Diceros bicornis minor: one gene and its partners. The protein of the gene in region 1 purifies or fractionates together with the protein of each later gene. This does not show direct contact. Links are inferred from orthologs where the notes say so. Each region holds a gene or a part of one and is shown in the gene's direction. Other genes may lie near its edges.

Region 1 (7,617 bases):
TAGCAGAAGCACCCTCCTGCCAACCGCCCCCCCCCCAAAATCAATGAAACAGTGCCCCTTAGTGGTAGAAGGACAAAATTACTGGTAGGTCAACAGTATAGCAAAAATCTTGCTGAGATATGAATTGGTAAGTACGAAATAATTTCTCTCTAAAAAATTAGAAAGGGTTAAGCAGAACGTTTTAGAGTAATCATTGCAAAGTGGATTATGGGGATTCACAGGGTGTTTAGAAAGCCAAAAGGGAGCCATTGTATCTGCTGGGAAAAGTGAAAATCAAGGATTAACAGCCTTTAACATATAGGAAATTAAATTATCCCTAATACAAGTAGCAGAGGAATCTCAGCAGCCGTTTGTCCTCCAATGACTCTTCCACTGAGGTGGAGCACAAATGAAAGTAAGCGGATTCTTCAGAGAAATGGGATAATTTTAGATACTTACATGACCCTTTAGAATCATTGACTGGTTAATACCAATACTCAGCACCATCTGTCCTGCTAGCTGTCTTTTATAGTGGAAATCACCAAGGCTCATGGAAGTTAGGAAAGTAGTAGGGTCAATATTTGACTGTCATTGTTTCCAATTCCCTAAACCTAAAATAACTGGGGTCATCCTAGCTCCATCATATAGAATGTACCGCATGCTGTAACTCTTGCTGTTCTCTAGCTGAAAGGTGGCATGGCTATGTCATTACTGCCTGGGCTCTGTAGCCAAAACCATACATTGAGTGTGTGGCCTACTCAGTCCTTTCTTACTTCAGTTTCCTGCCTGTAAAATGGAGTTGGTAACAGCATCACAGTCAAGGCATTGTTTTGAGGATTAAATGAGAAAACACAGAAAAGTGCTTAGAGCAGTGAGTGGCACCTAGTAAAAGTTTGAGAAACATTAACTGTAATTAGCTGATACTACATAGATTGACAAGTTCTTCAAAAAGTTGCAAACTTTGGATTATATTTAAAGCCTTCTAGGATGCATACCAGCTCTCAACAACAGTAAATGACTTGGGAGGAGTAGACTTCAGATGCAAACTGAGCTTCAATGTTTTTACTTGGCACAATTCAGTATTGTTGGAATGTGTTGCAACAAGCATGTTGTACTATTGTAATTTTAAGTAAATAAATAGTGACAGAATATTTCAAAGCTTGCTTCAGTAATCCACTCTAGCCCTTGCAGTTCACCTTCCAGAATTTCTTTTATACATTTAACCTCCCTGTCATCTTAGCCCTTTGTAAAGATGCCCCACCCTCTCTAGGCTAACCTTTTGATGAGACCTTTTGATTTTAATCCAGTGGTTGCTGATGTCTGCACTCCCAGAGTGCATCTGCAAAAAGAGATGCAGCAAATGCTACAAACTCCTGCAGTGTAAGCACGCTGGTGCTCAGCCTGAAGAAGACTGCAGTCATGCACCAGGGAAACCGAGCCACAATCAGAGATTTCCATCTTCAACACAGGGCTGAAAGCTGTCACAGCATTCTGCTATCTGAGCACCAGGCTGCCCATCTGCACTTGGATTGACAAGGAAAGGGAAAACTGAAAAGAGAAGCAAGCTGCCAAGCATCCCTCCCAGTGTGGCACTGCTGTGGCACCATAGCCCAGACCAAACTAGAGCACCGAATACCACTGCTGCTCTCCCACCTCCTAGAGCACTGTACAATTTAGAACTGCTGTAGAATCCTCAAGCAGCTTCATCACGACATTTAATAACTAGAGAGGGGTTTTGAAACAAATAGGCACCCCTTCAGCAAGTTTCTTAATCTCCCTTGTACAGTGGGGATGTATTGATTAAGGTAATGCTAGCTGCTAAAACAAAAGTTTATTTCCCCCTTACAAGAGTCCCCTGTGGATGCTCCTGGTTGGGGGAGGCAGGGCTCTGCTCTGCACAGTCCGTCTGGGACCCAAGTTGATTGGGGGAGGGGGCGTGCTGTCTTCAGTGCTGCCTTCCAAGAGCCCCTGGGCTTTGGCATCCAGCCAGTGGAACAGGAAAGAGGAGTGCTCACGGGAGGTTTTTATGGGCCAGGCCTGGAAATGGTACGATTACATTCTGTGGCCACACCCATCTATGTGCAAAGGGAGGCTGGGAAATGTGATTCATCTATGTGCCCAGAGAAAAAGAGGACATGGATTCAGTGATCAGAGAGCCAGTCTCTGGCACAAGAAATGACATATTTACCTTGAGGGACTGTGATGAGGATTAAAGATGATGCGGTGATGTATGCTTGGCTCATTGGGGCTATTGGGGAGGGGGCCGAGGATGTAAAGAGGTGAGCAGTAGAATGCCCAAGCAGGGACTGGATAGCGGGCTGAGCTGGAGTAGTCACAGGTACAAGGGTGATGGCAGAGCAGACCCACTTAGGGCTAAGGGGTTTGAGTTGGGAGCATTCAGGTAGACACAAATGCTGCTCATCAAAGGGTTTCGGCACTGTGCCTTCAGGCTATGAGGTAGAAATGCACTTCCTGCCCCCGTCTGCCACCTCCCCACTCCCTACTCTCTCTCTCTCTCTTTCTCTCTCTCTCATCCCTCTATCCCCATTGGATGTGTGGTCATGTGACTAGTTCCGGCCAACAGGCAGAAGTGACATGTACCACTTCTGGACTGAGCTTTTAATTGCTCGCGTAAGGCTGTCTAGAGGGCTCTTTGCCCTCTGCCAATGAACAGCAAACAGTATCGCAGAGACAACTGGCTCCGTCACCCTGGGTCCTGGAGAAGCACAACACAAAACGGAGCCTCTAGGCACCCAGGCAACATCTTGTTGTTTTAAGGCACTGGGATTTTTGAAGTTGTATATTACTGCAGCATAACCTAGTTTATTCTGATTGATATAGAAACCTTTTTTTCAGGCAAGAGGCATCAGATGGTCTGTGAACAAACAAACCAACAGAAAGGCATTCTTGTCCATTTTAGATCATCACTTCCAAGAACTAAGGGATCATGCTTTTAAGAACATAATTTGTACATTATTGCCTCAATGCAAGCAAAGGAAGTGCTTGATGGGCCTTGGATTATTTTAAATACTGATAAAATCAACTTTCAATAGAGCCCTAGACACACTCTCTTCCTTAAAAGATCATTAGTCCCAATTTAGAGAAAGATTAAAGCTACCAAATGCTAAAGAGAAATGTTAAGGACATATAATCAGAAGTAAAAGAAAAATGAAAATGGATGAGCTTTGGACGGAATTGTGGGCAGCTGTCTGAAGCACTTCTATGTAGGGCACAAATTTGGCTACTTTCCCTTCCTCTGGGATCTCTAGAACTGACCTCCTCAATTAGGGAGGCCTCCTGCACTGCCGGTTGCCTTGTGGGCCCTCCTAACGCTCTGGCCTGTGGACCAGCACTGTAATGTTTTCCTAACTTGTGCAATTCCGTCTGGGATCTCACTCATATCATCCCACACTACAGATAACCTGACCAAAAATACTCCGTCCATGACTTTGTAATATGAGACCATGACTTTGTAATATGTTCCTCTAGAGTAAAGGAAGTGATCCACCAGGAGACCCTAGTTTTGCTAACTTCAGGGTAAGAGGAAGCTTTGATGTTCCCAGTCAGCTGGTAGAGCTGCCTTAACCAGAGCTCAACAAGTAGACTATAAACTCCTTAGATACAAGAGCTATATTTTATTCATCTAACAGCCCAGTAATTAGTTAAGAGCCTGCTTTGGATTCAGCCAGATTCTGGCTTGAATATTGATTCCACCACTTAATAACTGGGTAACCCTGGCCACTTAACCTCCCTAATCCAGTGTCATCATCTGTAAAATGGGGATAATAATGTCTAACTCCATTGACTTGTAGAAATTAAATGGGGCACTTGTATGTAAAGCTTCTGGTGCAGCTCAAAAGTCTTTGCTGAGTGCTTTGAAGAACAGTGGCTTCTATCCAACCCAAAGTGTGTGATCTCAGAAGAAACTGTATGAGTCTCCATCAACTTTAAAGGAGAATTCCTTTGCCAGAAGCTGCAAATGCTATAAAGTTGGGGTTGAATGGATAGTGTTTACCTCAAGGGAAGGGACTGGTTTTCATTTTATCTGCATTATTTGAATTTTTGTATGGATTAAAAATACATGGAATTAAAAATAAATACAACGTATTTAAGGGAAAAAAAATGTTGTGTTGGCAGGGTTGCTGGCTTATTTACTGAATCTTTTGGCTCCTTCAGGGACAGCAAGAGCAACCAACAGAAAACACTAATAATTACCCATATTAGAACAACAGCCCCGTTCCCATATGGACCTGGGGGTAGAAACAAAGTATAATAATCCTTTATAGTTGCACCAAATCTTCTTTCCCAAGACTTTACACTAGCTTCCATATATTATCTTTATCTCCCATAGGTCTTTGGGGTGGTTTCCATCCCTCCCTGCCCCCAAGCAACTGTAGGAGGGGAGAAACTGAGGCAGGTTGGGGGAGAGGGCCTCCTCCTGCTCTCAACCCCGGGACCCAGGCGGTTACCGCCGTTTCAGCCCCCCGCTCCCCCGGAGCGCCCAGGCAGCTGGCAGGAGGGCCGGGCCCGGCCGGAGCCGCGCGTAGACCAGGCCGGCCAGGCCCAGGGGGCGGGCCCGGAGCCTCGGCCTCGCCTGCGCCGGCGCCGCGCCGCGCCCGCCGCTTCCCGGCCGCTCGCTCGGGGCGGCCTCTCGGGGCCCGGAGCTCTGCCGGGCGAGCGCCGCCACCATGCTGCAGAAGCGGGAGAAAGTGCTGCTCCTGAGGACCTTCCAGGGCCGGACGCTGCGGATCGTGCGGGAGCATTACCTGCGGCCCAGCGTGCCCTGCAACAGCCCGCTCTGCCCGCAGCCCGCCGCCTGCCGCAACGGTCAGGGGCCCGGCGGGAGCCAGGGCGGCCGGGCGGGAGCGAGGGGGGCCGGGCGGGAGCGAGGGGAGCCGAGGCGGGAGTGAGGGGAGCGGAGGGCGGCCGGGCGGGAGCGAGGGGGGCCGAGGCCGGGCGGGAGCGAGGGGAGCGGAGGGCGGCGGGGCCGGGGCCGAGCGCCCGCCGTGAGGAGGAAGGGCACGGCCTGGAGGCGGAGCGCGAGGCCGCGGAGGCGCCCGCCCGCAGGCATTACCTCCGGCCCGACTGCGGGTCAGGAGCGAGGGGCCGGCGGCTTCAGAGCCGCAGAGACGCCCCTCGTCCGCTGCTTCTGGGCTCCCCACACGGGACTCCCCGACTGCTCCGCTCCATAACATGGAAGGGCCGGGAGACGGACGCCCCCCTAGCCCCGAGGCCCGGTGATTTGCCTTCCGAGGGGCTTGTGGGCTCAGGAACCTGCCCCCTCTTGCGCCCCAGGACCGTGTGGTGGTGACTGGGGAGTTCCTGAGCTGTTGGCCCCGCAGTGAGAGGCGGGGCGCGAGCCGGCGGCGTCATTTTACGTTGCTTTGCTCCGCACAAATATTCTGACCTGCCGGCACCGATGCCTCAGACGTTTATCCAGTGGACACCCTCTTCACTGCAGGATTTGTGAATAATCTGGGCCCTCGTTGTACAGGAAGGTCGTGGGGAAGTTAGATTTGGGACTGCTGTGCATTAGACCTTCCCTACTTGGTTTCTAGGCTGCAGGGTGACCAGTTTATCGAGGAAGATTACTGGTTCTCTTCCCTCTGGTGGGAGATGAGCGTGGGGGTCCTTTTCAGCGAATATTTGGAATCCTCAGCTTATGTTAAGGTGAACGTTTTAGTTACAGCTTGGCTAACCAGCTCTCTGAGACACGGGCAGGGTGGAAACGCTACCGCTGCCCTTGCTTGCACTGAGCATCTTTTCTGGTCAATTCAGTCTTTTTGGTCTTTGGAGACTCCTGAGCATGTTCACCAACTTGAGACAGAGACTTGAAATAGCTGGGCGAAACAAGTGGTTAACATGTATATTTTGGGGTGCCCCATTTGAATGTGCGTATGTCAGTGAGTTAACGCAGAAATATTCAGGTTGTTCTGAAGATTTGCTTGTTTGTTTTAAAAAATCAGTCATCTCCTTCTTCCCTGGCAACACCGTAAACAACATTGAGCTTTTATTTATCGCAGCTTCGGAAAAATGACGGTGCTGAATCTACCTGAACTTTGTGCCTCTACCAAAGTAGATTTATCTTGTCTTTAAAAAACTTCACCGTGTAGTAAGATTGGAAGTGATTTTGCACACTAGGGCACCATAACGTTGAAATAATCCAGGTTTGCAAATGTTGTCTAATCTCTTACGTTTTGAATTATGCTTCAGATGGGAAACTCTTGTCTAGTGATGTGACTCATTACGTGATCCCAGATTGGAAAATTGTTCAAGATTACCTGGAGATCCTTGAGTTTCCTGAATTAAAGGGAATTATTTTCATGCAAACGGCTTGTCAAGCTGTGCAGCATCAAAGAGGCCGGAGGTATCTGGTTTTCATTATTTATTTATTTATTTATGGCATAGATTTTTGTTTCCCCCTTAGAAAAAGCCCCTTGTTGGATGGAGAGGGGAGGAATTCATTACTTTGTCAGAAGAGACTTTTTGAACTAATTTGGTATTCTCTTTGCTAGTGAGGAATGCAGTAACATTATTTTATATTTCTGCTTCAACACCTGGCCAAAAGATCTGACTGTAGATCAATAAACTGCAGTGTCCCCAGTATGTGGGTATTTAAGATTCTTGGCTTTTGGTTTGCATTTTTATAGTAGCCGAGTTATTGCTGATTTCTTGTTGATAACGCATTTTACGTAATCTTATTTATAGACATATTGTTTCAGAAGCTTACTTTTTTTTCCCTTGGGAAAAAGAGTACTTTATTTTTAAATTTTAGACTCCTTTATTGTGGATGCAAATTGTACTTGTAGTGATTTAGTCATTGAAACCAGAATTAACTTGTTTTATTTTTAGATTACCAGTATAACTACCAACCATAGTAGTTGTATTTGCTAAACAAAAGATTTCTGATTGAAATGAGTCTAAAATGCTTGCCTTGTGCCTAAATGAATAACAGTTGTTCACCTTTTAAACAAGTACAGTCGCCCCTCGGTATCAGTGGGGGATTGGTTCCAGGACCACGGAACCAATCCAAACTGTGGATCAAAAACATAGTACCTACATGTAAAATCCGCGGTTGGTTGAATCCGCGGATGCGGAACCTGCGGATACGGAGGGCCGACTGTACTCTAAAAAATGGTTCTGCTTCATTTAACATTGGGAAAGATTTATGATTTGAACTTAAAGACTGTATGAAAACAGCATATTAGAATTATATATTCAACCTCTTAACACCCCAGGTTATTTAAACAACAGAAACTATGTGTTCATTCTTTTTTAAATGTTGTGGTTTTTTAAGGTAGCAAAAGATGAAGTATGTTTATTTGTATATGAAAATGATAAGTTGTCCTTATTATGTGCTCAGTTCAAAAAAATGTGCGTTTTTCTAGATTGTGTGCAGGTTTTTCAGGTAGAATATTTTTAAATGAGCTTGAAGTTGATTTTGTTCAGACACAAAGATATAGATGTTTATACACATCCAGGTTTAAATGCTGCTCCAAATGTCGTATTTCAATTTCTGCTACTAAAATCAATTTGTTGTTATCATTCTGATTGCTAACACACTGCCGAGCCTTTTCAACTTCTGTTTTCTAAAATATTTTTAATATTAAGGAGTGTTTTAAAAGCCAGTTCCTGGGA
Region 2 (7,749 bases), on another chromosome or scaffold:
GGAGGAGGATTGGCAATAGATGTTAGCTCAGGGCCGTTCTTCCTCAGCAAAAAAAGAGGAGGATTTGTATGGATGTTAGCTCAGGGCTGATCTTCCTCACAAAAAAGAAAAGAAAAGAAACCTTAACTAAATTGGAGTTGGGAAGGCCTGTAGGAGGCACTCTCATGCCCTATCATACATGTCAATTACACCCCAACAGGAAGAGATGGAGGCTCTCATCTCCTACAGGAAGTACAACTACTTTACTACTGAAGGAAGATTTCTCTCCCCACCTGGCAACAGCCCAGCCAATGAGAAGCCGTTGCTGCCTAGAACTGTTACTTTCCCCCAATAGACTTTCCTTTAGAACAGTCCCTCCTGACTCCCCCTATTTCTCTATAAAAGCAGCTCCCCTCCTTTGTTCTCTGGATTTGCCCGTGGTTCCCTGTAGCATGCACATCCCGAATTGCAGTTCTTTTGGCTATTCCCGAATAAACTTGTTTTGAGAATAAAATAACAGGCGAATTGGCTTTTTAAATTGATACTTTGGGCCGGCCCCATGGCTTAGCGGTTAAGTGCGCGCGCTCCACTACTGGCGGCCCCGGTTTGGATCCCAGGCGCGCACCGACGCACTGCTTCTCCGGCCATGCTGAGGCCGCGTCCCACATACAGCAACTGGAAAGATGTGCAACTATGACATACAACTATCTACTGGGGCTTTGGGGGAAAAAAAGGAGGAGGATTGGCAATAGATGTTAGCTCAGAGCCAGTCTTCCTCAGCAAAAAGAGGAGGATTAGCACGGATGTTAGCTCAGGGCTGATCGTCCTCTCAAAAAAAAAAAAAAAGATGTAGCATAAGTTGACAGTCACCTTGACTTGGAGTTCCTCTGTCTCCCTCCATCCAACTGCCCAGTGTGGACACTTCCTTCACCTCAAGGCTCACTCAAATACCACTTCTGTCCGGGGGGCTTTTCTTTCCTCCCCCACGCCCCATCCCTGAACTCCTGACTGAGCCCCTTGATGGCTGGGCAGCCAGTGATGCAGCTCTGTGGCCCCCACAGCACACAGTGGTGCTGTTGTTCAACTGCAGACGCTTATTGAATAAGTTCATTCATTCATTCAACAAATATTTATTGGGTGCTGTTCCAAGGGTACCTGGGATTTGTTTTCATCAGGGATGGTAAGACATGCAAACATGGAAATGACTGCTACAAAAGGAGAAGTTTGTTATGTTCACGATTCGCTAGAAACAGGACGCACAGCACACCCTGCAGGGACACATGGGGAAGCACTGGGCTTGATCAGGAGGCAGAGGGAGCAAGGACAGAATGTGGGAAGAAGCCTTTATTGTGGTTTCCACAGGAAGGAATGGGTGAGGCAGGGTGAGCAGGCTTAGGATTGGCTAGTTTGAATAATTTCAATGAGCTCTGAGGCATAGGGGCTGTCCCTAGTTGTCTGGTACCTGGCCCTGGGGTGATGAGGGCAGGTGGATAGTGGCCCGGGGTGTGAGAGCCCCATAAAGGAGGTGGTTGGGGGTGTGTGCTCTGGGCTGGGTAGTTTGCACATGAAAAGCACACTCCTGGGCCAGTTGTTAACTATCTAGGAACTAGCTAACCCTGGGAGAAGCAGTCCTTTCAGGATCAGCAAAGTCTAAGATATCCAAGCATCAGATCACAGAAAATAGAGGACGTGGTTAAGACAAGGGCCTGCTATGTATCCAGACAGTCCTAGGACTGGGCTGTGAACAAAACAGACAAGGTCTGGGCATTTGCGGGGTTCATATCCCTCGGGGGAGACAGATGGAGCAAACAAACAAGCAAATACATATTTTGTAAATCTATCTTATCTTTTCAACAAATACTGTATGGCTGCCCTCTATATGCCAGACTCAGTTCTCAGCACTGATGCACACTGAACAAAACAGATAAAGTCCCTGTTCTGAGAGCACTCACGTTCTCGTGGAGAAAGACTGCGAAAAACGAGCAAACAAGAAAATTCAGTGACAAGAAGTAAAACAGGATCAAGTGATAAAAAAGGGACTGAGAGTTATTCCAGATCAGGTGGTCAGGGAAGGCTTCTCTGAGGAGGTGATATTTGAGCTGAGATCTGAGTGAGGAGAAGCAGCCAGCCACACAAAGACCTGGGGGAAGAGAATTCCATGCAGAGCTCGCCAAAAGCGCAGTGATCCTGGGGGTGGTGACAAGCTTTGCATGCGGAACTCAGAAGAGACCAGCGCATCTGGCTGCAGCATAGTGAGTAAGGGAGTGGTTAGGAGGCAAGTGAGGTCAGAGATGGACAGGGCCACAATGATGAGTTTGGATTTTATTCTTAGTGTAAAGGGAAGCTGCCAGAATGTTCTAAGCAAGGAAATGGTTTAATCTGATCTGTTTTTTAAAGCTCCCTCTGGCTGCTATATGGAGATTGGATGGTAGGAGGCAAATGTAGAATTAGGGAGACGAGCTACTAGGTGATACCCAGGTAAGGGATGACGTTGATCGGCTTGGAGTGTGGCCCTGGAGATGCACCGATGGGGAGGTAGATGGATGTGGGGGAATCCATGAATGTGAGACCCGACTGGCCATTAAAATCACTCACGGAGTTAAAACACACACTCAGAGACTTCTGGGACCCCACCTTTGTAGAACCTCAACGGCTAAGTCTGGGCTCAGGAATCTGTTTCTAACAAGCCCCTCTGGGATGTGCACTCTGTTTCCGGGTGGCTGCTTGTCTCCGGGGTGTGAAGAGGCAAGTGCGATGCAGAGACAGGAGCACCAGAGGGGGCTCTGCAGTCTTGGGTTCTAGTCCCAGCTGCAGGTCTGTTGTTGGGACTCGGTGGCCCCAAATGATTGTCAGGAATACCAATGCCTACCTCCAAGATGGGCCGAGTGTGAGGGATAACTACAACAATGTTTGTAAAGCACTCAGCAAAGTACCAGGCCCCCCGGAAGTGTGTAGGCAAGGGTGCAGGGTCTGGGGTACAGCAGGTGCAGTCGGAAGGAACACTGGCCCTGCCACCAAGTGCTGTGTGAATTCCAGTCCTTGAGGGCCTCGATTTCCTCCTCTATAAAAAGATATCTGCAATGGACTGAATGTTTATGTCCCCCCAAATTCATATGTTGAAATCCTAACCCCTAAGGTGATGGTATTAGGAGGTGGGGGCTTTGGGAGGTGATTAGGTCATGAAAGGGAGCCTTCATGAATGGGATTAGTGCCCTTATAAAAGAGACCCCAGAGAGCTCCCTCACTCCTCCCACCATGTGAGGACCCAGTGAGAAGACAGTGGTCTGTGAACCAGGGAATGAGCTCTGGCCAGACACTGAATCTGCTACCACACTAAGAGAGCATCCATAATCTCAACGTTGTGACAGGCTTGTAAACGTGAGTGCTGTGAGAATGGGAGAGGCTAAGGTTACGTCCATCCCTCTTGGGATGAGACTGGATGATGTCAAGACTACACCCCACTCGGTCTAGGAGCACTCCTAGGCCCAGCTCCCTAGCTGACTGGGCTATGCTGGCTCAAAGGACACCACTGCCCTCTTATGGCCGAGGCTGGACTCAACAGATGGACCCTTCTCACACTTTCTTGGCTCTAGGATCTTGCTGCAGGCAGGGAAGAGGGCAAGTGTTTGGTCTGCCCACTGACGGGATGACCTATGGAGCTCTAGAATTTATATCATCGACTGCCGCACGGGTTGGATTTCTTGACAAGTGTAGTAGTAAGCCTTGCTTAGGTGAAAGAAATTCACTCAATTTGGAGATTTATCAAACAATTGGTCTGATGGAGGCAGCAGGCCTGATTTACTGAACACAGCATGTGGGGCTGATGCATCTTATTTCATTTAATCCTCTTTAGGGTCCTCGTGCATAAAGAATTATCATTTCCAATTTCCTGAGGTTGAAACTCAGTTTGTTGTGAATACTACAAACCATGCAGGACAAGGGTGAGGGAGAGGCTAGTGGGAGGCGGGGAGATGAGACGACAGAAATGCTCCTATGTTAAACAGGACACCGAGAAAAAAAACCACATATACATCTCTCTGTCCACGCTGTATCCTCAAAACTGAGCCTGGCACACAGCAAGCGCTGAATTCCCAGTATGTAAGTAATATATAAGTGAAGGAAATATAAGCCAGGATCTTTGTACTATCTGTGCACTTGTCTTCCCTACCAAATATACCTGCCTTGTAACGTTTAAAGGTTTCTTGTTTTTTCAAAAGAAATGTTAGGGTAAATCACCTCACTCCAAAGAAGTCATTATGAAAGAAGGAACCAGCACCCACGGGGCGGCTGTTACGTAGTATACTGGGGCTACTAGGAACAGTAAGAAAAAGGCCTCTTCTTTCTGTCCAAATAGCGTTTTCTGTAGATCCCACCTCCTGATCGTTCTGAGCTCTCTCATACAAAAACATCAGATTTTAGCAGCTTAGAGTTGGAAGGAAACTCAGAGGTCCATTTCTCAATTATCTCTAACCCTGGTAAGCAATAAATGGAATGATGAGTACCAGAGAGTTTTGGTAAAAAGTCAAACGGTATACAACCCGAGATTTTATTCCACACGTGCAGCCTTGCCAATAGTAAAAATGGCAACTCGGCTCCCTTCTTCCCTTCATGTTAACCTAATGGTTGACAATAGTCAGCATGGCCGCCAGACCGTGAGTTCCCATTGGCGGCTGCTCTGAGGCCCCGCCCCGCGCGCCCCTCCCTGAGACGGCCGGGAATTGCAGGGCCGGATCTCGCGGCTGCGGCCTGGCTGCGCCTGCGCGAGTCTTTGGCGCCAAGATGGCGATGGAGATGAGGCTGCCTGTGGCTCGGAAGCCTCTTAGCGAGAGCCTGGGCCGCGAGAGTAAGAAACACCTGGTGGTGCCGGGGGACACGATCACCACGGACACGGGCTTCATGCGGTACGTGGGAACTTGGGGACGCGGGGCCACAAGGGGCGGCTGCAGGACTCTCTGCACGTGGCCTGCTGGCCGAAACCCGGGCCGCTGTCCCCTTGCGTCTAAGGCCCTGCGGGACCCAGGGCACATCTGAGCATCCCAGTTGCCTCGTTTCCGGGTCTCGGGCTTCTAGTCCCTGCATCTTGTGTATCCCCATCGGCCTCCTGAAACCGTCCTCTCCTGATCTCTGGTGGCCGTGACTCCTGGGTCCTCTGCCTGAGGTCCATTTCTCTGAGCCTTCCTCGTTGGAGACCTGGAAACCGGGGAGGGTTAGGGGCAGGGCCTCTTAATAGTTTTCAGCTATCTGAGGGGACGGTGGGCTTTCCTGACTCGACCTCCTGTCCTCTCGGCGTCATCTCCTAGCCGGGTGCTCGGTTTTGGAATCAGTAATGTTTGGGTTTAGGGCAAAAATATATTGTGCTCCATGCACCCAAACAGACAACTTTAAATCTGAAAGCAGTACAATATGTTGTAGTTAAGAGGGCAGCTCTGCGTCGGACAGTTGGGGTTCCAGACCTGCTGTCACCTGTTATTAGCTGTATTACCTCTCCCAGGTCAGTTTCCTTGTCTGGAAGAAAATGATAAGAACAGTAACTATTTGATAGGGTCATGAGGATTAAATGAGGTAATAATTAAGAAAAGAAGCAAAACTCACCATCATATCACCATCGTAGATAAACACAAGTGTTATTTCAGCCTTTTTTGTGGGGGGTACACATGTACATGTAGGAGGGCTACTGCATTTACAGCATTGCCCTTTAACCTTTTGGTTTGAGGTTACTAGATCCTAGGAAATCTTTTTTTTTTTTTGAGGAAGATCAGCCCTGAGCTAACATCTGCCAATCCTCCTCTTTTTGCTGAGGAAGACTGGCCGTGGGCTAACATCCATGTCCATCTTCCTCCACTTTATATGGGACGCCGCCACAGCATGGCTTGCCAAGCGGTGCGTTGGTGCGCGCCTGGGATCCGAACCTGCAAACCCTGGGCCGCCACAGCGGAGTGCACGCACTGAACCGCTTGCGCCACCGGGCTGGCCCTTGGATCCTAGGAAATCCTAAGATTCAGTTCTTCATTCATGCATTCAACATATATTTATGTTGTGTGTGGTTAGGGTGCAACAGTGAACAAAGTGGGAGTCTCTGTCCTGGTGGAGTTTAACAGGGAGAGACAGATGATAAACAATAAGCACAAACAAATGAATTATTCAGAATGTTTGGTGCTAAATGCAGTGCAAAAAATTAAAAGTCGAGCAGGGTAAGTGGAATGTGGTTGGGAATGTGATGGGGGTGGTAGCAGCAGGGTGGGTGACTATTTTAAATGGGGTAGTCGAGGAAGGCCTAATGGCGAAAGTGACATGTGAGTAGACTTGAGTAAGATGAGGGAGATGTCCCTGTAGCTCTCTAGAGAAGGAGTGTTGTAGGCAGAGGGAGCAACCAGCACAAAAGTTAGGCTTTAAGGCAGGAGGAGCCTGTTAGGTTTGAGGAATACATTGTTCTTGACGGGAGAAGTCATCTCAAGTGTTACCCTGATATCCTTTGTATCTTCCTCTTGCAACAGCGGCCATGGGACTTACATGGGGGAAGAGAAGCTCATTGCGTCTGTGGCTGGATCTGTGGAGAGAGTGAACAAGTTGATCTGTGTGAAAGCTTTGAAAACCAGGTGAGAACAAAAGGTGTGTATTCTCTGTCTTGTGGCATCCATATCGCACAACCAGGTTTTTTCTGCCACACCACACCTCCCACCCCCACCCCCGTCTGCCTTCTCATTCTGTAGGTCTGCGATTTGGAACATGTATAGGTGACTGTAGAAAGTGCAGGCTTCAAAGGTTTCCCCACATTATGTGACCTCTCCAAACCTTTGTTCCCTCCTCTGCAAAATGAGGATAATATCATGACCTACCTTATAGGATTTTCATTAGAATTCATTGGAAAGGTGCATGTAAAGTACTTAGCACTGGGCCTCCTACCTAAAAGGACTCAATAAAGGTTAGCCCGAGAAAGGAAGCCAGTGGGGTCAGAACAGAGTGAGTGAGGGGGAGAGTAGGAGCAGATGCAGGCAGAGAGCTGAGGTGGGCAGTCGGCCTGCCTTGGAGCCATGATAAGCATTTTGACATCCACTTTGTATAATCTGGGAAGCCACCGGAGGGGCTGGAGCAGAAGAGGGGCATGATCTGACTTCTGTTTTAAGAAAATCACTCTGGCTGCTGTGGGGGGATTGAAGAGGGACAGGCGCAGGCTCAGGGAGACAGATTAGGGGACTGTTTTCATCATCTGAAGTGATGGTGGCTTGGACTAAGGTGGTAGCAGTAGAAGTGGGGAATAGCGATTAATTCTGCATATCTTTTGTGTTCTGAGTTTTTATTATAAAAGGGTGTTTGATTTTGTATTCTTTGGGATTTTCTATATATAGGACCATGTTTATGAGTAGAAAGAGTTGTACTTCTTCCTTTCCGATTTGGATGCCTTTTATTTTCTGGTGAAAGTAGAGCCACTAGGATCTGCTGCTGGACTTGTCCTGGAGCATGAGAGAGAGAGAGAAATCAAGGGTTCCTCCAAGAACTCCAAGGTTTTTGGCTTGAGCAGCTGGAGGGATGGAGTTGCCGTTCACTGAGATGGTGATGACTGGGAGAGGATCAGTTTGCAGTGGAGGAGGGCGGGGAGCTGCTGGAAAGCTTTGTTTTAGGTTTATTTCATTTGAAAATGTGTCTTAGTCACATAAATGGAGATGTTGGGTAGCCAGTGGTTCACTGCCGTCTGGAATTCAGGGGAACTGTACAGTCATGAGTGGTATTTAAAGCCATTAGGTTGGATGAGCTCACCAAGAGGTGAGTGTG
Region 3 (7,678 bases), on another chromosome or scaffold:
TCCATTTAAATTACAGAATCTGACTGTCAATTTTTACCAAAAAACTCCTAGGGTTTGACTAAGATAACATCGAATATAGATTAATTGGGAAGAATTGCCATCTCTTCATTTAACACAATAATAGTGACTCTTTCAGTCCATGAACATGGAATATCTCTTCACTTAATGTGATTGTCTTTATTTCTCTTGGTAGTGTTTTCTAATTTCAGTTTAGGCCTTATAAATCTTTCCTTATTTATCTTGGGTATTTGATGATATTTTTTATACTAACAAAGCTAATTACTTTTAATTTTTATTTCCCTACTGTTTGTTCCTATTATATATATAAGTACAATTTTTTGTGTTGATGGTACTAGTTAACACATTAATTTTAATAGTTTAATTATATACTTTTACCTTGACATTTTAAAAAATATTTACAATAGAGTAAAAAAAAATATGGAATAATTAGAATTAAATCTCCAAAAGTTGTTCAAGCCCATCACTGAAAACTAGAAAGCATTATTGAGAGCAATTAAAGACCCATATAAACGGAGAGACATATGATGTGCATATGTTGAAAGATTACATGTTTGTAGCAATGTTGAAGTGTCAGTTTTCCCCTAAATGATCTACAGATTCAACAAAATACTAGTCAAACTCCTAGCAGGAATATTTGTTGATACTCCTAGCAGGAATATCTAATAACCTCACTTTAAAATTCAAATGGAAATGCCAAGGACGTAAACAGCTAAAAGAACTTTGAAAAAAAGAACAAGTTGGAGGATTAACACTACCTAATTTTAAGATTTATGAAGTTACAACAATCATGACAGCAAAGTATTGGTGTCAAGCTAGATCAATAGAGCAGTAGATCAATGGAACAGAATGGAGAGTCCAGAAATACATCACACACGTATGGACAACTGATTTTTTCTAAAGATGCAGATGCAATTCAGTGGGGAAACGACCTTCTTTTCAACAATGGTGCTGGAACAATTGAATATACAGATGTAAAAAATGAACTTTGATCCAAACCATATGCCATATACAAAAATCAACTTAAAATGGATCATAAATCTAAACGTGAAGCCCAATACTGTAAAATTTACTTAAAAAATGGGAGAAAATTTTTGTGACCTTGGGTTAGGCAAAGATTTCTTAGCTATAAAATCAATAGCACAATCCATTATAAAAAAAATTGATAAACTGGACTTCATGAAAAATAAAAACTTCTGCTATTAAGAAAACAAAAAGACCAGTTACAAACTGGGAGAAATATTTCCAAATTATATATCAGACAAAGAAATTGTATTCAGGATACAAAGTAAAAAATAAGAAAAGACACCCCATTAAAAAGTGACAAAAAGATTCAGACACTTCACCAAAGAGGATACAGAAACATCAAACAAGCACAGTATCTTTAGACCACACCAGGTGATGGTGAGGATGTGGAAAAGATGGAACTACACTGATGGCAGGAACACAAAATGTTACAACCACTTTGGAAAACAATTTGGTAGTTTCTTAAAAAGCTAAAGATAAGCCATCATATCATCTGGCCATCCCACTCCTAGGTACTTACCCAAAAGAAATCAAAGTTTACGTCTATACAAAGAGTTGTACATGAGTAATCATAGCAACCTTATTTGTAGAAGCCAAAATTAAAAACAACCCAAATATCTTATCAATAGGTGAATGGAAAAACAAATTGTGGTTATATTCCCACAATGGAATTCTCCTCTGCAATAAAAAGGAATGAACTATTGACTCAAGCCCCTGCACATATGAATATCAAAATCATTATGCTGAGTGAATGACGCCAGATAAAAAAGAACACACATTATATGATTTCCTTGCTATAAAATTTTAGAAAATACAAACTAATCTATAGTGACAGAAAGGTGATCAGTTGCTGCCTGGGGCCAGGATGAGGAGATAGCAAGGGGCAGGAGGAAGAGATTATAAAGGTACTTGAGGAAACTTTCGGGAATCTGGATACGTTCATAATCTCGATTGGGCTGATGGTATCACTGGTGAATACATCAAAACATATCAAACTATATACTTTAGATATGTGGAGTCAATGATTCCTCCATAAAGGTGTTAAAACTTTTCAGTAATGTAGTTATGCTACTTTCATTTATAATTTTTTTACAAATTGATGTAAAAATTATTTGTATAATTTTTTATGGCATTTGTTAAATATCTCATAGCAAGAGGCTATATTATCTTTTTTAATTCATTAATTCATTCAGCAAACATTCAAAGTGCCAGACAGAAGGCTGGAGAAACAAAGATAAAGCTTTCCAATTAGTGGGGTAGACAACTAGCATTTATTGAGTACTGAAGGAGTTCAGAGCATGTCACCTCAAATATCACATTGATTATTCTGAGCTGGAGGAACTTGAGAAACAGCAGATTCAGGAAGGACTCTCTGACCTCCCCTTTCTATCTAAAACAGGCCACAAAATTTCCCCTGAGAAAGGTGCCCTTCCCTGTACCAGGAGGAGAGAGCATCCTGATCATCAGAGACTGGGAATTGATGCTGAAATGGATCTGTACAAATTTTCTGAAATAACGCTTATATTCCACTTTTTTTGCCGCCCTCTCCCCACCCCCCATATCTCCTAGTCACTTCCCCACAATTTACTACTCATAGCCCAAACCCCATCGTCTAGTCAATTCTTCACAAATTGATTGTTTCTTTGTCTGAAAGGTATAAGAGATTTTGGCTCTGGTCTCTTCTTTGGGTCTTCATTCTCTTGTGAAGTCTCCCATATATGAGTAAAAATTTATTACAGTTATATTTTTTTTCTCCTGTTAAACTGTCTTGTGTCAGTTTAATTCTTGGACCCAGTTGGAGACTCAAAGAGGGTAGAGAATTTTTCCTCCCTTATGGTACCTGTTATGTAACAGCTACTGTTTTTACATCCATCACTTCATTTACTTTTCACAAAACAGAAGACATGTCTTTTTATATCCATTTTACAGATGAAGAAATTGAGCCCAAAGACATTCACAAACTGAAAGCAGCAGAACTGCTTTGTGTGATTCCAAAGTCATGGTCTTTCCATCAAACCATGGTACAAAACTTATAGCCACATCTGAAGAGCTCTGGGGCAGAGGATAAGATCCCTAACACTTGCTGAGGAAGTCAGCGAAGGCTTTGCTATTGAGGCCTTCTTGCTTGAGATGCAATCAGGGCTCCCAAGTATTTAGAATTTTAAGGGAATGCATTACTGATGACCCAGAGGCAAATTATATACTATCCCTCAGGCAGAAGTAATGTTTTCTTCCTCATTGCTCCTATAGTACTTTGTTTATGTAGTCAATTTATAACTCATCCACTTCACACCTCATTGAGTTATACTGAAGCTTGTAATTGGCAGTCACAGTGGGCTGGAAGCTGCCATTTGTATTTTTATAACATCTAATATTTTAAAGCACGTACTAAGATCTGTGTGAAATCCTCTTACGTGGATAAATTAATTTATTATTCACAACTTCATGAGTTAGATACTATTACTGTCTCCACTTTACAGACAAAGAAATAGGCTGCAACATAAAAATTATCTGAAACCGTATAATAAAGAAAACACATAAGCAATGTAAAATTAGCAACTATCTATTTTTGTGTAAAATTTTGTCTTGGAGATACATTAAATAGCAAAGATAAGAACAAACATTCGGTAGTCAGACAATCAAATGCATGCATAAATTACATTTCAAAACAAAGATATGAATTGAATGTGTATTATTCTCATTTCTTTCTATTATGGATAATAGAAAGCTGATTAAGCTTTTAATTCATTTCTAGAATTTGAGATTTGCCTTTGATGTAAAGTTATCACCATTTCAAAAACACAACCTAAAACTGAAATATACTTTGTTTAGTATGATAATGAGGTTGGTTTTTTACATGGCATCATTCACTTTGTGTTCTAAGAAGTGAGGACATTTAATAGTCGGTTATAGATTTATTCATCAACGTTCATCACTACCATCCAAGGCCAGTACTGTGTCCAAAAAGCTATATTTAATACTCTTATTATGTTACACATGATCGTGTGTTCAGAAGGCTCAATGAATCCTTCTTCATGCTGCTGCTGCTAACCGTTTACACGGCCAAGGGCAGATGGTCGTTTACTGGAGGCATTAGTGCAAGAGGAGCACATACGTGCAACTAAGAATCACACGAAAGCACGGTGACCTACTGCAGCCAGATTCTCAATTTAACCATATATACCCACTTAAAAAGGGTCCTTTCTTCCTCTCTAACGCTTGGACTGATTCTTAAAACAAATGTACACAAGTTAGTTAATGCTTACGTCCCTAAGCAGACCTCAAAGACGAAAGTAAGTTGGATGAGACAAGGTCCCTGCTCTTATTCAGCACACAGTCAGCTTTTTCACTACATTATCAGAAACTAAACTCGGAAAATAATCTGGAACACGGGCATAGATCAAAGGATCCGGCTCGTAAATTTGCTCCAAAACAACAAATTGTGGGCGGTGCAATTCCGCCCCTTTGAAACTCCTGTCAGTCACGCAGTCTGTGGGCGGGGCCACGCCGAAACGCAATCTCCGTGCGCGTGAGTGCGCATGCGTCCCGGGGGAGGCGGGTGACCCCTAGAGGTTGCCGTCGCGCGTGCGCAGGTAAGACGTCGCGCGTGCGCAGGCGCTCGGCGCAGAGGCCTGCCGGAAGCCAAGATGGCGTATCGGTGTTCTCCAGGCCGCAGTTGGCGCCTTGTCCGTGTCTGAGCGGGTGTTTCGTCAGGGGCTGTGGCGAACGCCCTCTCCGCCGCCATGGCCCGGCATCGGAATGTCCGAGGCTATAACTACGACGAAGGTAGGTGGCAGGGTCATGCGGGGAGGTCACTGTCGCCGTCCCGGCCGGGCTCCCTGCCCGTTGGCATCCCCTGGGCTCTGGGAGCGTCCCGTCGGAGGGGCCAGGAGTCAGAGGAGGCTCGGCTGGAGGAAACGGCGGGACCCCGATGCCGGCGGTGGCATTGTTTGGGCGGTGATTCTGCCCTCGGGGATCGGTCCTGTTTGGGGCGGGGGCCGCGCTGCCCGGCGGCGTGCGGGACGACGTGTGGGAGGTCGGCCCCGGGGACTCCTGCACGTAAGCGTCGTCACCTCCTGCCTCCCCTGCCCTCCCGGGTCGGGGCGCGCCGCCTGCGTCGAGCTCCTCCTCCCCGACCCCCATTTCAGAAGTGCCATATGTTCCTTGTTTGTAAAACACGGGGTGTCTTAAAGGTTGCATTCATCTGTTCTGCTGTGCCTGTTAGAGCTACGTGTCAGTCTTTTGTGTTTGTTCACACGTTTAGTGCAGAACCTGGCTTCATCTAACTGATTAACTTACGTTCTGTGAATTTCAAGTTAAATTGGAAACTTAGGAGACGGTAGAAAAGATAGATATTAAAAAGGCCCAAGGAATAAGTCGATCAGATGATCTGAGGGGTATACTCAGTTCTTGGTTGATGATTCTCAAAGTAAATGTATTTTGAAATGGAAAAAAAAAGCGGTACTAGAAGGGGGCTTTGAAAAGGACTTACTGATTTTAAAAAATGAAATAAAAGGAAAAAACATGTATATGAATGTTCTCTAGGCGTTTACAAGGAGTTAGAATGTTTAGGACAAGCATAGCATCTCTATGCAGTGGATAATTATAGGCATCACCAAGCATCATACAAACTAAAATTATAAACGTATATGAATGAGTGCAGCAGAGGAGTGAAGACCTATTGCTTTGTAAAGTGCAGAGCATGTAGTGTGCTTAATATGTTGGTGGTTATTATTGACACTCCCAGCAGATTATTCTAGAACATCAGTGTGCTCTCACCCTCGAGGGTAGCTAACACCCTGTGCTACGTTTCGAGCCTGGGACCCAGTCATCCTGGCACACGTTAGGTTCCTGGTGTTCACTTCAGAATGCAGGCCGCCCTAAGTATTGCAGTGGAGGTAAGTATTGCATGTGACGGTTATTACCTGAGAAATGACTTTAGCCCACGACATATTTTTGCACGTATGATACAAAAAACGTGAATAGGCCTAATTACTACTTATTCATTTTTTAAATAAATATTTATCATTTCCTCAACCAACATTAATTGAGTGCTTATTCTTCATTAACTGAGTGCTTAGAGTACTGTTCCAAGCTTGGGGACCGATGGTAAGATGTTTGAGGGAATCTTAAGAGGGAGATGATTAGAGTATGAGATGCTGCAGAAAGGACTCACACAGTGCTATGGGAGCCACTTATTCAGAGTGGGTTGGGGGAGTTTAAGCAGGCCTTCTATGTGAAGGAAAGCTTCCTGGAGAAGAGGTGCTTGGCCTGAGGGAGTGAGTGCTACATATCTTCTCTTCTTGGCAACCCCAGGTCAGGTTGTCGTGGTGTCATGTGTCTTTGGAACAATTGATGACATCATAACCAAGCTGTTCCTTGTAGCATAAGAGGTCCATCCCCTTTTCCTGCGAATAAAAGTTATACTTACTTTAAGAGTCCAGTTTCTTTCTTTTCTTCCCAGTTAAGCTTGCGCTTGTACTCTGAGAATAATAATTTAAAAATTCTCAAAAGTCATATAACTGATTAGAGAGAGTTTGTGCTCCAAAACCGATTGGTTCCTCTGTTTAACTCGCGCACTGTCCTTCTCTGTAACTTGGGTAGTACTTCACGTGAGTACCTCAGCTACTGGTGTAAAAGTGCCAGGAAGGCAAGGTCTATGCTTTATGTTGATATTTACTCCGATGCTTCACATGCAGTAAATACTCCAGAATTTTTGTCGGGGAAAAGAACCACTTTACAAAAATCCTAGGAAAGAATTCTCTTCATCTTTTTATAGTGTAGCGCTTTTAGGGTCAATTTCAGTATTGAAAAACTGACCTAGTAAAAAAGATTTTGTCATTAATATCTAAAAATATTTTTTGTGAATGGCTTATTTGCTAATAAATTGTTATTAAATTGGGATTGTGATCTAATAATTTATTGGATGTTACACACTTTTATCCAATAGTGGTATTTAGCTAATTTTTCTTTGCTGTATACATTTGGTCTCCGCCTTTGAATATGCTGTTCCTGCTGCATGAATACCCTCAGAAATTAGCTAGCCATCCTTTGGGATTGTTTTAAATATTATATTCCCGGGAGTTTTTCCCTAGCCACCTCACTCCCCATTCTATTTTTGTTGTTCATATGTGTGTTCCCAGTAGCTCTGTATCTCTCATGTCAGGCACTTGTCGTGTGGTTTTGTAATTGCCCGTTTTCTCTTCTGTGTTCCTGGTTACATTTTAGGTTTGTAGGGATCTGGGAATGTACCTGTCACTCACTGTTGTACCCTAAATGTCTCTAATTGTCCATGGTAGTATTTGTTGAATGAATAAATACATTTATGTAAACATATTTATGTTCTTTGTGGGTTTTTAGTTTTAAATTGTTTGATTCATTAATTTATAATAAAATATGTATTAATTTGTGCCAGCTATGTGCCAGGTAGTTGGCTACACAGTGTCTTACCCTGAAGGAGCTTAGAGTCTCAGGGAGTGAAGCAGGTACAGTGCTTTGAAGACAGTCAGTTGGAGGAGTGTGCTAGAGAGTAAAAGTGGCAGGGGTGGTCAGGGAAGACTTCTGCATACAGGTGTCCTTTGAGCTGGAACCTTAACTAGGGGAAGGAAACAGCCTAATGAAAATCTGGTTAAAG
Region 4 (7,564 bases), on another chromosome or scaffold:
TTTGACAGAGAGGGGTCCAACATCATTCGTTTGCATGTAGATATTCAGTTGTCCCAACAACATTTGTTGAACGATTTTTCCTTCCCCATTGAATTGTCTTGGCACCCCTGTCAAAAATCAGTTGACCACAAATGTGATGGTTTACTTCTATATTCTCAATTCTATTCCATTGATCTATGTCTATCCTTATGCCAGTACTACACTATCTTGATTACTGTAAGTAGGAAGTAAGATTTGAAATCAGAAGTGTAAGTCCTCCAACTTTGTTCCTTTTCAGGATTTTTTTTGGCTCTTTTGGGTCCTTTGAATTTCCATGTGAATTTTACGATAAATTTGTCAATTTTTGCAATGAAGACAGTAGGGATTTTGACTGAATCTGTATATCAATTTAGGCAGTATTATTATCTTAACATAGTAAATCTTCTGATCCATGAATATGAGGTACCTTTTCCATTATTTAGATCTTCAATTTCTTTCAATGTTTTGTAGTTTCCAGAGTTTAAGTTTGGCATCTCTTTTGTTAAATTTATTTCCAAAAGTTTTACTCTCTTTGATGCTATTGTAAATGGAACTGTTGTCTTAATTTCATTTTTTGGTTGTTCATTTCAAGTGTATAGAAATGCAATTGATTTCTGTATATTGTTCTTGAATCTGGCATCCTTGCTGAACTTGTTTGTTAGTTCTAAACTAAAGTTTTTTTTTTTTTTATGGATTCTTTAGGATTTTCTATATACCAGACCATTTCACCTGCAACTAGAGATAGTTTTACTTTTTCCTTTCCAATCTGGATACCTTTCATTTCTTTTTCATTTCTATCCCAACTGCCTGTGATAGACCCTCCAGTACAATGTTGAATAAAGTGGAGAGGGCAGACTTCCTTGTCTTGTTCCTCATCTTAGGGAAAAAGCTTTCAGTCTTTCACCATTAAGTATGATGTTAGCTGTGGGTTTTTCATAGATGCCCTTTATTAGGTTAAGGAGGTTCCTTTCTAATGCTAGTTTATTGAGTGTTTTTATCATGACACAGTGTTGGACGTTTTCAAATGCTTTTTCTGCATCTATTGAGATAATAATGTGGTTTTTGTCCTTTATTCTATTGATATGGTGTATTATATTAATTGATTTCAGATGCATTAAAATCCCATTTGGTCATACTGTATAATCCTTTTTATATGTTGCGATTTAGCTTGCTAGTATTTTGTTGCGGATTTTTGTGTCTTATATGCATGAGAGATATTGATCTGTAGTTTCCTTTTCCTGTGATATCTTTGGTTTTGATATCAGGGCAATAATGACCTCATAGAATGAGTTGGGATGTGTACCCTCCTCTTCTGTTTTTTTGGAAGAGTTTGTGAAGAATGGGTATTAATTCTTTAAATGTTTGGTAGAATTCATCAGTGAAGCCATCTGGGCCTGAGTAGACTCCACTTTACTGCTGTTACTGATGAGTTTGTTGACTTTACAACCTCATGAGACCTTGGACCAGTTATCAATGTATTGCTGCTCAGCTCTAAACTCACCCTTTACTGCCTGCTCTGAGAAAATGGATCTGGTCCTTTAAGATATCTTTCCTTTGCTGTCTCTCATGAAGACAATCTTTGTAGGTAGAAGGCCCTGCAGAGGCATTGCAGGAGGAATGGGTTTTGCTTCCTGGCTCCATTGTGCTCTCTGGTATGCGCCTGCAGCATGGCAGCTTCTCAGGCTTTGCTTGGTGCCCAGAAACACCCAGCAGCCAGCAGTTTTCCCCAGCACCCTATCAGGCAGTTTTGTAATAGAGCCTTCCAGGAGACACCTCCCCAGGAATAGCTTTCCCCAGCGCCCTAGAAGTGCCAGCAAGTTCCACTGGCACAGATTCCCAGTGACTCCCACCCTTTAACAAGCCGTGGCCCTGTCCTCTCCAACAAGGTCTCAATCGGTCCTGGCCAGCAGGGTGCTCTTCCTCGGGTGCGAGCTCTAATTCTTATTAGCCATGATTACTTGTGACTAAAAATATCTGTAGCAAGTAGACTCTCACTTGTGCAGTGGTAACTGTGAGCATTTGCGTTTAAATTCTTTACTTGAATAAAGATATTAACACTTCTATGGACTCTTTTACTATTAATTTCTGTATACAAATCAGCATGTAGTTCATTTGTAACTGTTAGAAACCAGTGAACTAAAAAATTTTAAAGGTTCACTCAAATATTACCTCCTTTGGGACACCTATCTTGACTCCAACCTTCCTCCCACATACAGTGAACCATTTCATCCTCTGTAGTCGGGGCTGACACCCTCATCAGATTGGTGCACCCACCGTAACACTTGGTATCTTCATGCGGAGACAGTAGGGCAGGGACCATGATTCAACTGATTGCCCAGCTCAATTCCTGGCTCGGAGCAAATGCTCAACTAGTGTCGTCGATTGAAAGGAAACAAACCCGTCCAACTTCATTACTCAATAAAGAAAAGCAACCGTGAGATGCCACTTTTCCACCTTCTCAAGTAGCAAAGGTTTCTAAAGAGGAAGTTTGGGGAGAGAGTCCGAAGGCCGGGGTCCGGTCCAACCTTTCCGAAGGGAAAGCTGGTCCTTCCCCCGAGGGAAATACTGAGAAACGGGAGGTGTGCGCCAGAGGCGGTCGAGGGCAGCGCCGCGCCTCCTGCGCGGGCTCCCACCCGGCAAGCCCCCAGACTGTCTTACGCTAGGGTAGAGTCGGCCCGGATCAGGAGTGGGCCTCAGCCCCCGGCCGCCCCGCCGGGAGCCCCCGCGCGGCCGCGAGGAAGGCGCGCCGCCGAACCCCGGCACGGCCGCCTCCGCGCGCCCATCTCCACCGGCCCTTTCACACCCGCGGCGCTCCAGCCCGTCCGCGTTCGGACGCGAACTTCGTAACCGCGCCCCAACCGGACCCTAAGGCCGGCCGCGGCTCGGAGCCGGGCTTCCCCCGGCCGGCACGCGGGGGGCCCTCCGCGTCTCCCGGCCCGCCCGCCGGCCTCAGCCGGGCCGCGCGCTCCCGCTCACCAGCGGCCGCGGGGCGCCGGGGCGGCGACGCACCCACGCGAAGGCACGCGGCGCGGAGGCCCGACCGCCTCTCCAGGCGTGTCGGGGACGGCGACCCCGCGCGGGGCTGACGACCCGCCCCTCCCGCCGAGCTTCCGGTCTCCAGCGACTGCCCTACTCTCGGCTTCTAGTTCCTTCTGTTGACTTGGGAATGAGGCGCACGATGCCCACGTGCCGCCCCCACCGGGAGGTGGACTTGATAGGCCTCCTCAGCCAGATTTGGACCGAAAGTCTCTTTTTCCAGACTCCTCTGCCGACGTGGGGTGCGTGAGGGACAACCCAGGGATCATTTCTCGACCTCCCTCTCTGCCTGGTCACACTCCAGGTCACTGAGCGCCCTGGGCATGGCCTTGGGCCAGCCGCGATCACCCGATACCTACTGGTTCCAGGCCTTCTACAGCTGGGTTGGAGTGGGGAGGAGAGACAAAGAATGTACACAGTTCCGCCTGCCAGGATAACCGACAAAGAGCAGTTCCTACAACCATCTGACTGCAAAACAAAAGCTACATTTCAGTTGGCCTCTTAATATTCTCTCATTCAGTTGGCTCGCCAGCATCTTTCCAAATTTGGACGGTATGTTAGAGATGGTCTGTCTTAAACATCCTAAAAATCTAAAAATTCACGTTGGGAGCAGATGCCTCAAAGAGATGGGCAGAGCCAGGCCCTCCAGTCCCCAGGAGCTCTCACCCCTCTGGGGGATCTGACCAAACGCCAGTTGGAGGTGCCAGTTGACAGAGGAAACTGATTTCAAGTAAGAGCCCTGAAAGTCAAGGATTGGCTGTGTGCTGGGGACCTGGAATTCGGCAGCTTCTCACCCGGGCAACTAAAGTGTGCTCCAGGGCAGGCAGCAGCAAGGACTGAACTGCACTCAGTTTTCCCGGGCCATGTAGGGTAGCTCAGTTATGCGGAAATGCGCATGTGATGTGTGTGTTTGCAGGGAAAAAAAAGTCTAGGGAGAAATGCATACCAAAATGTTAACATCCACTCATCCTTCAGGAATTACCTGTTTGGTGCCAGACCCTGGGCTACATAGAATAACTCGCTGACAGCCTAGCAAGGGAGACAAACGGGAGAAGACTAATGCGTTTTATTTTCTTTTATTATTCTGTTTTCCACAATGTGAATAGATATCTTCTCTAGCAACAACCAAAAAGGTTTTATTTTGAAGAAGAGAAATACGTTTCCTTGAGGGCGGAGTCGGAAGGAAGGGCCCCCTCCGCTCAGTTCCCAAGGTTCCCACGGACCCACAGGTGAGAGCGTCTGGTATCCCACTGTGCGACCGAGCACGGCAAGTGCAGGCTCTGCGATCGACTCCAGCTGCGTGTTTCTCGGAGCGACCCGCGGACAGACTGCAGGACAGGCGGCCGGCTGAGACACAATCATGGCCTCCTCGGCGGGCCCACCGGCCCGCCGCGGCCAGGCTTCTTAGACGTAGTTGGTTCAAGTCCAACAGACCGCAACTGCCGGAAACGGAAGGGCTGGGGCGGGCTGGCGATTGGACGCGGAGCGGAAGCGGAAGCCGGAAAGTGTGTGGTGGCGTCCGGTATGGCGGAGGCGGCGGCCGTGGCGGCCGAGTGCCCTGCGGGTGGCCGGGCGCGGGCGGCGCGCGCCGTGCTGGATCAGGTGGTGCTCCCGGGTGAGGAGCTGCTGCTGCCGGAGCAGGAGGACGCGGACGGCCCGGGAAGCGCCGGGGAGCGGCCGCTGCGCCTGAATGCCGGGGCGCGCGCCCGGGTGCGCGTCGTGTGCGGCCCGGGCTTGCGGCGCTGTGGCGACCGCCTGCTGGTCACCAAGTGCGGCCGCCTCCGTCACAAGGAGCCCGGTGGCGGCGGCGGCGGCGGCGGCAGCGGCGTGTACTGGGTGGACTCGCAGCAGAAACGGGTGAGTTGGGGCTCCGGAGGGGTGGTACGGCCGTGCGGGTGGTCTCCCCGCTCTGGGAAGACTTCTCGGAAGAGACAGCGAGGCGGCCCTGGAGCCCACCTCTGTTAAGGCTGGCCTAGAGCCCCGTCGTCTTGTGCCCACCTCTGCATCTCCTGTGGAGGGACCGTGAACAGCGGGAACGTGGCCCGAGAAGGGCAACCCGGAGAGAGAGGAGTTTGGGAATCTTGGCGTATAACGGGATAAGGACTGTGAGACATGGTCATTGTCTGCAAAATCCCACAGGTCGGGGCACCTGGCTTATCTTTTGGGGTCTCGGAGGGCAGAACCAGTCTCACTGAGTGGATGTCACAGGGAGTTAAATTTCTCTTAAAATAAGTGAGAACTTTCATATAGGAAAAATTGTGTAACAATGAAGTGGCCTTCCTTGGTTGTGAGGACGCCTTGTGTCACTGGACTTAATGTGCAAGTGGCGGCTGGGCCCTTCCTGATAAGGTTACTGAAGAGGTATGGGATACGGACCGTTTGAAGCTGTAAAGCTGAGCGCTTATGACGTGATTGTTTTTCTTTTGTTGAAAATGGCGTATGATCAAGTTTGTTGTAAGATTTGTATTAATTTATGAACTTGGATTTCAAAATATTTTTGGAATATCTCTAATGACAAACATAATAAAATAATCACTAAGGACTTGCTGAAGACATCTTCCAAGATCTCTTGGAAATGATTGTCATTATGGTTGTTCTCTTGTTCTGTTTTCTTTTGTAGTATGTCCCAGTGAAAGGAGACCATGTGATTGGCATAGTGACAGCTAAATCTGGAGATACATTCAAAGTTGATGTTGGAGGGAGTGAGCCTGCTTCTTTGTCTTACTTGGCATTTGAAGGTGCAACTAAAAGAAACAGACCAAATGTGCAGGTAATGATGGGAGCATTTGGTTTTAAAAGAAAAGCATCCAAATATTCAGAAACACTCAGATATTCAGGAGGCTACCTGAATTGTTTCCTAAGCTTGACCTCTTTTCCCAGTCTTGTCGTATGATCTCTCAGTGTCTGTGTAATCACTCCAGGCTCCAGGAGTTCCTTCCGAGGCTCCAGCTCTGGGACCAGAGCCACATACTTATTTTACATTTGCTTATTTAAATTGGGGGATGTTTCATCTCTACGGAGTTGAAAGGTTATATCTGTTCTTTCCGTCGTTATCTGTTATGTCTGTATCCACGGGACAAAGAAGTAAGCCGTAGGCTTAGGGAGGAAGGAGGAATAAGTGGTGAGAATTGCCATATCAGCCCACCATCCATCCTGATTGTAGGTCCTGGGTCTGGCACCTCACAACGTCAGTCACATCACTGTTTCCCAGCAATCCCTTCTTGGAGCTGACAGAGGAGCAGTCTTGTTACCTCAAGTTTTCAACTGGGGCTTTTCGTGGAGCATAGCCACACTCTTCCTATCCACCCAAGCCAGAAACTTGGTGGTTTCTTTGCCCCGTCTCACTCACCTCTCATGTGTCTTTAGTTGCGTAATCTTACTGATCTTTTTTGTTTCTGTTTCTGATTTTCTGCATATCCACCCCTGTATCTCCATTTCACAAGTTCTGGCCTTAGCTACCTCTTGACTGGACTCGGTCAGTGACCTCCTCGTTAACATCCCTGCCTGTACACATTTGCCCCTCCAACCAGGCTTTTGAGAGCTGACAGCCTCACACACTCCCCTTCCTCCAAAAAAAACAAAAAGGGTTTCTTCAAAGCCTACATATTTCTTTGGCATTATACTCCAGAAGTCTTCCCTCATCCATAATTTTTTCCTCTATGCAGCCATGCCTGAACCACACCAAACTATTTACCAGCATTACTGAACTCATAACTTCCTGTCCTTGTGCCTTTGCTCATGGTGTTCCCTCTATCTGGACTACTCTGTCCCCTCTCAGCCTGTGGAACACATGCTCATCTTTTGAGACCCAGGCTAAACACCACCACCTCTGTAAAACCATCCCGAATCCTCAATCACTTTTCTGATAACTTTGCTCCAGCACTTCCTGGATTCAGCCTTGAATGAAGTTTGTTGTTTATATGTACATCCCCACTGCGCTCTGAGACCAAATGCTTCTGAAAGGCAGAGAATGTTTTGTTCCTCTCCAGTTCCTTTAGTCACCAACAAATGGTACATACTTAACAGAACAAGTTCACTCTCCATTTCCTTAGTTTCATCATTTTGAAGTTCAACTCTGAGGTTTTTAAGTAAATCTTGCATGGAGAACTGTCAGTGAATTACCATTGTTCCATTTTTTTTTTTTTTTTGTGAGGAAGATCAGCCCTGAACTAACATCTGATGCCAATCCTCCTCTTTTTGCTGAGGAAGACTGGCCCTGAGCTAACATCTATGTGCGTCTTCCTCCACTTTATGTGGGACGCCGCCACAGCATGGCCTAACAAGCAGTGCATCAGTGCGTGCTGGGGATCTGAACCGGGGAACCCCGGGCCGCCAGCAGCGGAGCGTGCGCACTTAACCGCTTGCGCCACTGGGTGGGCCCCCACCAGTTCCATTTTGCTTCGAATAATTTGCATGTCAGGGGCTTCTTTTATCCATCAATCTTCTGTAATTCCTAGAGCAGTGCTGTCTGAGAGAGGTTTCTGTGATGACGCTAATGTTTTACATCTGC

What was found.
Region 2: the proteins of DIS3L (region 1) and EXOSC2 purify together in Homo sapiens (affinity purification with mass spectrometry; 5 studies listed by BioGRID and IntAct, with this or other methods). This does not show direct contact. The link is inferred for Diceros bicornis minor from reciprocal best matches to the Homo sapiens genes DIS3L and EXOSC2.
Region 3: the proteins of DIS3L (region 1) and HBS1L purify together in Homo sapiens (affinity purification with mass spectrometry; 5 studies listed by BioGRID and IntAct, with this or other methods). This does not show direct contact. The link is inferred for Diceros bicornis minor from reciprocal best matches to the Homo sapiens genes DIS3L and HBS1L.
Region 4: the proteins of DIS3L (region 1) and EXOSC3 purify together in Homo sapiens (affinity purification with mass spectrometry; 6 studies listed by BioGRID and IntAct, counting the BioPlex papers as one, with this or other methods). This does not show direct contact. The link is inferred for Diceros bicornis minor from reciprocal best matches to the Homo sapiens genes DIS3L and EXOSC3.

Annotation. Positions count from the first base shown.
Region 1 is NC_080744.1:60,497,973-60,505,589, forward strand, and holds the start of DIS3L (DIS3-like exonuclease 1), read left to right. Parts: upstream 1-4,611; 5' UTR 4,612-4,667; coding exon 4,668-4,806; intron 4,807-6,192; coding exon 6,193-6,346; intron 6,347-7,617. UniProt on the Homo sapiens protein: Catalytic component of the RNA exosome complex which has 3'->5' exoribonuclease activity and participates in a multitude of cellular RNA processing and degradation events.
Region 2 is NC_080767.1:38,101,048-38,108,796, forward strand, and holds the start of EXOSC2 (exosome complex component RRP4), read left to right. Parts: upstream 1-4,739; 5' UTR 4,740-4,758; coding exon 4,759-4,880; intron 4,881-6,473; coding exon 6,474-6,575; intron 6,576-7,749. UniProt on the Homo sapiens protein: Non-catalytic component of the RNA exosome complex which has 3'->5' exoribonuclease activity and participates in a multitude of cellular RNA processing and degradation events.
Region 3 is NC_080762.1:3,272,907-3,280,584, forward strand, and holds the start of HBS1L (HBS1-like protein), read left to right. Parts: upstream 1-4,671; 5' UTR 4,672-4,787; coding exon 4,788-4,830; intron 4,831-7,678. UniProt on the Homo sapiens protein: GTPase component of the Pelota-HBS1L complex, a complex that recognizes stalled ribosomes and triggers the No-Go Decay (NGD) pathway.
Region 4 is NC_080767.1:6,211,808-6,219,371, forward strand, and holds the start of EXOSC3 (exosome complex component RRP40), read left to right. Parts: upstream 1-4,563; 5' UTR 4,564-4,578; coding exon 4,579-4,911; intron 4,912-5,674; coding exon 5,675-5,824; intron 5,825-7,564. UniProt on the Homo sapiens protein: Non-catalytic component of the RNA exosome complex which has 3'->5' exoribonuclease activity and participates in a multitude of cellular RNA processing and degradation events.